Linked DNA regions of Danio rerio. The protein of the gene in region 1 interacts with the protein of each later gene in a biochemical or structural test. Links are inferred from orthologs where the notes say so. Each region holds a gene or a part of one and is shown in the gene's direction. Other genes may lie near its edges.

What was found.
Region 2: the proteins of tyro3 (region 1) and gas6 form a complex in vitro, tested with the Homo sapiens proteins (2 studies listed by BioGRID). The link is inferred for Danio rerio from reciprocal best matches to the Homo sapiens genes TYRO3 and GAS6.

Annotation. Positions count from the first base shown.
Region 1 is NC_133192.1:11,697,307-11,701,136, forward strand, and holds part of tyro3 (tyrosine-protein kinase receptor TYRO3 precursor), read left to right. Parts: intron 1-2,701; coding exon 2,702-2,885; intron 2,886-3,830. UniProt on the Homo sapiens protein: Receptor tyrosine kinase that transduces signals from the extracellular matrix into the cytoplasm by binding to several ligands including TULP1 or GAS6. Regulates many physiological processes including cell survival, migration and differentiation.
Region 2 is NC_133176.1:590,510-594,339, reverse strand, and holds part of gas6 (growth arrest-specific protein 6), read left to right. Parts: intron 1-296; coding exon 297-461; intron 462-947; coding exon 948-1,116; intron 1,117-1,979; coding exon 1,980-2,122; intron 2,123-3,486; coding exon 3,487-3,694; intron 3,695-3,830. UniProt on the Homo sapiens protein: Ligand for tyrosine-protein kinase receptors AXL, TYRO3 and MER whose signaling is implicated in cell growth and survival, cell adhesion and cell migration.

The DNA of each region.
Region 1 (3,830 bases):
ACCTCACTTGACATGAATCCATGTCTGCATGCTTTTACAATGGTATCTCACTGCTCTTTTTTGGGTTTTGTCTTACCTGGTTTCTGGAACCATCATCAGTCTAGAATCATGGGCCACTCCGCTCTGCCTCCCTCATCTGGCACCGTACACAGTGAGCTACTGAGCAAACCAATCATGTCAGAAAAGCCTCATAGTGTGTGTTTTACACACAGAATGCAACCATTATGCACCCCATGGCACATATTTTTCTGTTCACAGAAAAGTAGTCCTGGGCACATTTTCTGAGTGAGCCTGTGTAGTGTGTGAATATTTCATAAAACATTTGATGCATGGTCTTAATGGATGATAGATAGATAGATAGATAGATAGATAGATAGATAGATAGATAGATAGATAGATAGATAGATAGATAGATAGATAGATAGATAGATAGATAGCTTAAAGTATTGATGCATTTTGTGTTCAGAAATGCTCTCTACAGAACCTGTTTGTAACTGAGTTACAGTTACTGATGTTTCTTCAAATCATCTGGGGCCTCATATATTAAAACTTTGCGAACGCCAGATTTTACGCTCACATTTGAATTTACTAACGATAAAATTAACGTGAGTGTGCGTTATTCTGCGCCAACTTCATGTCTGGCGTACGTGTGTTTCTTGTGTTTGTTTGTTTTTTTTTTTCATTGGCAACTCCTAGAGGCAATTATGTTAAAGTGCACACTACAAAGTACCGCACCAACAAAGTATCCTGGCAACTGGTTCTTTTTAAAGGGAACTGGCAGACTACTCAGAGTTAAGCCAGTCGTCTTTGAGCCGTGCAATGCCAGCTGTTTGGAACAGGATCATCATGTCTAGCAGGTATATGAGGTTTCCATACTATGCAGTTGACCAGTCAAATATTAAAGTGCAATTTGCAGCGATCGCCGGTTTTCCCAATGTAATCGGAGCGATCGACTACATGCACATTGCCATAAAGGTGCCATCTGAAGACGAATTTGCATACGTGAATCGGAAACAATTCCATTCAATAAATGTGCAAATAATATGTGATGCTCCGATGCGCTTAACAAATATTGTGGCAAGGTGGCCTGGGTCAACCCATGATTCATTTATCCTTACAAACAGCATGGTTGGGATGAGGCACTAAGGTGGCAGGGTGCGTGATGGGTGGCTTCTTGGTGAGTGATGTATTTAAAGATATTATTCCAGCTAAGTTTATTATATTTTATTTTATTGAGCGTAATTATTAAATTGCATATCAGGAGACTGCAGTTATTTTTTAAAGACATGGCTGTTAACCCCACTTAACAACCCACAAACTGACCAAGAGTGCAGAAACAATAATGCCCCTACTCACACAGTTGTATAGTCAGTTATAGTCAGTTGTAGAGCGGGCGATTGGGCAGCTGAAATGCCGGTGGCTCTGCCTGGATAAGAGCAGTAGGGTGCTGCTGTACCGTCCTAACAAAGTGTTCCTCTAATACATCTGTGTCTCCCACAGACACGGATACTATTCCAGACAGTAAAGTGTCACCCACAATTGAGGCAACTCTTTTCTCAAAGGGTGTTAGTTCAGCATCCCCTGTTCCCCTGCCAGTTCGGTCCACACTTTGACGGTGCGCTGCTGTTCTCCTCTTAACCTGCACCTTTACATTGGACCATTTCTTTTTTAATTCGTTCACAGGACGATGTTCAGACCCCACTGCGTTAACCGCGTCAGCTAAACTCTCCCACTCTGTTATTAATTCCGGAGGACAAACTTGCAAATAACAACGTTTTTCTCTGGTCTACCTCCGATAGGAGCACCTTCAATTCACATTCTGTGAAGTTTCTCTTCATGCTTGCTTTCGCCATTGCTTTTTTTGTTTGGTTTTGCCAAAGTAGAGTCATTACCATATTTGTAGGGGGGAGGAGGCAGGGAGGGGTCTTGCGCTCATGCACTTGCACTCAGTTTCACGTTAATTCGGATGTACAAACAGAATATGCGTCGGATTTCACGCACAGTGTTTAAGTTCATACATCTGACTTTTTTACTGCGTATGCACATTTACAGCTTTGTCCGTACGCAATGTTTTAGTATTAATTCAACGCAAGTCTTTGTACACAAGGCCCCTGGCCTTTCGTCTCTGATCTGTGACATCAAGACTTTTCTTTGTAAAGCTAGAGGTGGTTATGGGTGAAAACCCCAGTAGATCAGCAGTTTCAGAAGTACTCATACAAGATCACCTTGCACCAACATCCATGCCACTTTCGTAGTCATTAAAATGGACAGTTCAACCAAAATGAAAAGTTTTGATCATTTACTCTCCCTTCACTTGATCCATTTTTTTTCTTTCCTTCTTCTGTTGAACACAAAAGAAGACACTTTGAAGAAAGCTGAAAGTTGTAACAATTGACTTTCATAGTATTTGTTTTTCCTACTATGGATGTCAAAGTTTTGGAACCACTTGAGGGAGGGTAAATAGTGAGCACATTTTCATTTTTGGGTGAACTATGCCTTTAAGTCTTAAATTTTTCCACGTCCTGATGCTTGTTTTGAACTTCAGCAGATTGTCTTGTTGACGTCTACATACTTGAATGCATATCTAGTTGCTGCCATGTCATTGCCCATGTAAATTGATCTCATTATGTAAAGTTGATTTGTCTTTTATAATATTTGTGTTCTCTTGCATTAGAAGGATGTCAATTTTTTTATCTTCCAGGGGTACGCTTCACCAAAAACCCTTCCAACCAAACGGTGACTCAGGGTAACATGGTCCGGCTGGGCTGTGCCTTTGAGGGTTTGAGTGAACCAGAGATTATCTGGATGAAGGATGGAGAGAAGCTCTTCAGCACTGATCAGATGTACATCACACTGGATCCATATCACTGGGAAACCTTTCACAGGTAGGATGCTTTAAATGTTGTTCAGGATGTTGGTGAATCAGTTTTTTTTATTGAACTACAACAGCATTCTACCACCACTCTGCTTCCTATCTGACAGGGTAAAACTATCCAAATAATTGTAATGACTTTTTAATCCTTTTTTCTACATTCATGTATAGCTGCTTTGACACAATTTACATTGTAAAAGTGATATAGAATTAAAGATGACTTGACTTAACTTTAGCGTGAATTTACCTCCATATGGATGGCTTTCCCACTGCTACTGGTTTGTCCAGTTAGCTAGCTCTGTACGTTGGTGGACTTTAGATGCTGATATGAGTTAACCACTACAATAGGGTTCGAGTCCGGTGAAAAATGGTCTTAGCGGTTAGGACAAAATCAAAAGCTAAAAAATAAAATAACAAATAAACAACAGGGTGAAAATGTGGTAAAATCTGAAAACGTGATAAAAATAAAGCGAGGGCTTTTCTTTTTTTTGGATTGCTTTGCTTTTTAAAACACTGTCAGTTGGGTTTTGAGAAGTGGGTGGGCAAGTCAATTGGTGCTTTTGAAAACACTATTGGTTGGGTTTAGGGAAGGAGGAGGGTAAGTCGATCTGTCAGTCAGTCAGTCATTCATTAAGTCAGTGAGTCAGTCCACAGCGGCCTCTGGTGGATTTACGTGAGAACAGCAGCCGCAAATGGCACTGGTGAGAGAAATTTGAGATCTGTAAAAGCATACACAGCGGCCTCTGGTGGATTGACGAAAACAAAAACTGCCAAAAAACATAGCTCCTGGGACATATTTGGTGCTTTAAAGGAATATATATAGGGGTATGTTGCTCTATCTGCTAAAGATAATGTCAGCGACTAGAGGCATTTTAAGTGTCGAGTTTTAGGATGCACAAATGAACACTGCATTCCATAGACTACCTTTTTCCGAGCCACCTTTTGACATTTTCAGTTT
Region 2 (3,830 bases), on another chromosome or scaffold:
TGAATGTTGGACTGAAATAATTGTTTGCATCAGCCAAAACTGATTGGAAGCGTCAGCCAACAGAAGATTCTGCTTGGTCTTAAGGAATTTTTCAACTGATTATTTTTACTGTTAAAGATGGCATATCAGTCAAAATAGGACACATGAGCTCATGTATTGGCCAAAATCTGGACCTTTGTCAGTGAGGGGTGGGTCTTTCGAACCATATGAACCCCCCCGCTCATTTATTGTGAAGTGTTTCCCATTTATTTGATATTATTAGAAGCATGTTCTGAGAGATGTTCTGATTGGTGCAGATCTCGGTGGAGGAGCAGGGGCGGAGCCTGGTCATTAAGATTGACAGGGAGGCGGTGATGAAGATCGCAGTAAACGGAGACCTGTTCACTCTGAATAAAAACATGCACGAGCTGAACCTGACGGTGGGGGGAGTTCCCTTCAGAGACGATGGGCTGGTCAGCAGAGTGAGTTTAACACACACACACACACACACACACACAATGAACAAATCACAAATTCATTCATTCTCCTTTGGCTTAGTCCCTTATTCATCAGGGCTCGCCACAGCAGAATGAACCACCAACTATTCCAGCACATATTTCACACAGCGGATGCCATTTCAGCTGCAACCCAGCACTGGAAAACACCCATACACTCTCATTCACACATACACACACACTTATAGGCCAATGTAGTTCATCAATAGTGCATGTGTTTGGACTGTGGGGGAAACCGGAGCACCCGGAGGAAACCCACACCAACACGGGGAGAGCATGCAAACTCCACACAGAAACACCAACCGAGGCTTGAACCAGCCACCTTTTTACTGTGAGGTCACAGTGCTAACCACTGAGCCACTGTGATGCCCCATTTCTGATGTCATGTGTGCTTTGATTGAGCTGAGTTACTGTAGTGGGTCTGTGTGATTATTATCTGTGTGTGTGTTCCAGGTTAACCCACGGCTGGACGGCTGTATGAAGGACTGGCGCTGGTTAACCGGTGAGGACACGTCCATTCAGGAAACCATCCGGCACAATGAACGCATGCAGTGTTACGCCGTCGAGGACCACAGCGCCTTCTACCCCGGACACGGGTTTGCATACTTCAACCACAGCCATGGTGAGTGCTGGAGGTGCACACTGCAAATAATGCTCTCTTACTCAGAGTCTTGGATCTGTTTCTAATCCAAATATCTCCAAATTCTGAAATCAAGAAGCATTTTCTAGACAAGCAAAACAAAAAGTCTTGTTTTCAGAAATATTGAGTTAAGATGAAGTGAGTTTTTCCTTCAAACAAGCTAAATAATCTGCCAATGAGGGAAGAGAAATAACCTCGTTTTTCCTTTGCCATTGTAATGAGTCGGGATGACGGAGGTGAAGATCCACGTGCAGCTTTATATTTATATCTAGTTTGTATAAAGTGTTTTATTTTAGAATTGATTTTAAATGTATTTTTCTGTTTGATGTTAGGGGTGTGCAAGTGCATTCTGAAATATAATTTAATTTAATATTCATTCATATGCATGTGTTATTAACTGTTTTTGTAGCACATTTCATTCATTCATTCATTCATTTTCTTTTTGGCTTAGTTCCTTTATTAAGACTTACGGAATGAACCGCCAACTATTCCAGCATATGTTTTACGCAGCAGATGCCCTTCCATCTGCAACCCAGTACTGGGAAACACCCATACACTTGCACACACTCACATACACTACGGCCAATTTAATTAATCAGTTCCCCTATAGCGCATGAGTTTGGACTGTGGGGGAAACCAGAGCACCCGGAGGAAACCCACACCAACACGGGGAGAACATGCAAACTCCACACAGAAACACCAACTGACCCAGCCGAGACTCGAAGCAGAGACCTTCTTGCTGTGAGGCGATTGTGCTACCCACTGTGCCACCGTGCTGCCTGTAGCAGATCTGTCTATCAATAACTTGTTTATCATTTTAATGATGTATTTTATTGTCCTCACAGGAGACAATCAGACGCTCAGTGTTCATGTGACTCTGCGTGCCGCATCCTCCATGGGGGTTCTGTTCGCTCTGGTTCGTCAGGACAGAGTCCCGTTCTCCATCTCTCTCTCCGACTATCATCCAGGGACCCTCCAGTGGACCAAGGTGTGTGTGTGCATGAGTGTGTATGTGATTGCGTGTGTGTGTGTGTGTTAGTGATGGGAGCTTTGAAACGATTTAATTAGTTGCTTCGCAAAGTGATTCAGTTTTGAGCATTCGAAATAGCAAATGCATGGCGACATCTGCTGGTCAAAACCATGTAAATGCAACAAAAACACACATTACATCAATTAGAATTGACTTTTTCAAATTTTATTTATTTATTTATTTTATTTAAATATTGTACATATTAAAGGCGACCTATTATGCAAAAATCCCTTTAAACCCCAGTGAAGTGTCTGCAGCAGTGTGAATATCTCCAGCAGCCTCCAATGGTCAACAGTAATGAAGTGTATTTGTTCTAATCAGATGAAAACAGTCTGCAGAAACACTGTGATTGACATTCTCCCTTTGTACGTGTCATCAAAGGGGATAAGCCCCGCCCACTAGTGTCCATCTCTCCATCTCATTAGCATGTCCAGCAGCCCTGAGTGAGAAGCAGTCGTCTGTCCATTCGCCATTAGAGTGTTTGAGCTGCTGAAGATGATGTCAGCATAGACTAAGAGGAGATTTGTAGCTCCGTCCTCTCAGAGCACAATCTCATTTGCATTTAAAGCAACAGTCACCAAAACGCCACAATTAGGATCAAAGCCTGAAGGGGTCATTTTCAGAGAGCTGGAGAACATTATCTGTGTGCTCAAACTTCACTAACTTCAACATCACAATCTACATACTCTAGAGACGTCAGAGATGCATTTTACATCTTGTAAAAGGGGCAGAATATGTCGTCTTTAAATTCAAAGTAACCTATAGATGCACTTAACTTATCATCTAATACCATCATTAAATATTAACACACATTAAATGTGTTCTTTATCAATTTTCAAGGCTTATATATGGTTTGTTTTATGGTGGGCTATTCTAAACAAGACAAGAGACTAATAAATGATGTTCCTTTTCATAATACATTAAAACATCTACAAACTCATAAATGGAAATGAGGTCAGGGAAAAACTATTAAACATGCTAAACTATCAGCCTTAAAGACTATTAAAGATGCCACAGGGGTGCGATCTGAGTGAAGCCGCATGATTATTGTGGATTTTATAGGATTACACTGATCGCCCCCTAGTGGAGAATCATCACATTTTCTGAATATTTCAAAACACTTCTGATATAACAAAGCCATTTTTACTGAAGTTATGTCCACTTGATGTGTGCTCTGGAACCACTGATTTGAACAAAAGAAATGTTAAAGGTTTGGAAGTTTGATGAAGCTGCCTTCACTAGTGTGTATCTGTGTGTTTGAGATGCTGCAGTGAGGTGTGTTCTGCTGGTCTGAAACTCTTCTGTTGATCTGTAACCCTCAGCATGTACTGGTGTCGTTGGGTGATGTGGTTGTGGGCAGTGTCCCAGTAAACCTCAGCGATGGACAAACACACACTGTGAATGTGACAATGTCCGGCAATGACTCCGTGCTGGAGGTGGATGCTCAGCTCGCTCAGATGGAGATGATGGAGGGTGTTGACTCTCTGGATCTCACATCCTCATACAGCACCTTCATAGGGGGCATCCCAGGTAATGTCTCACATTGGTCTGGTATGGTCTCACATCCACCTCGCAATAGTGTCATAACAATCCCACATATTATTATGTTTCTGAAAGTTTGACATTTGTCTCAAATAAGTCTCAAATTAGTCTCATATGGTCTCAA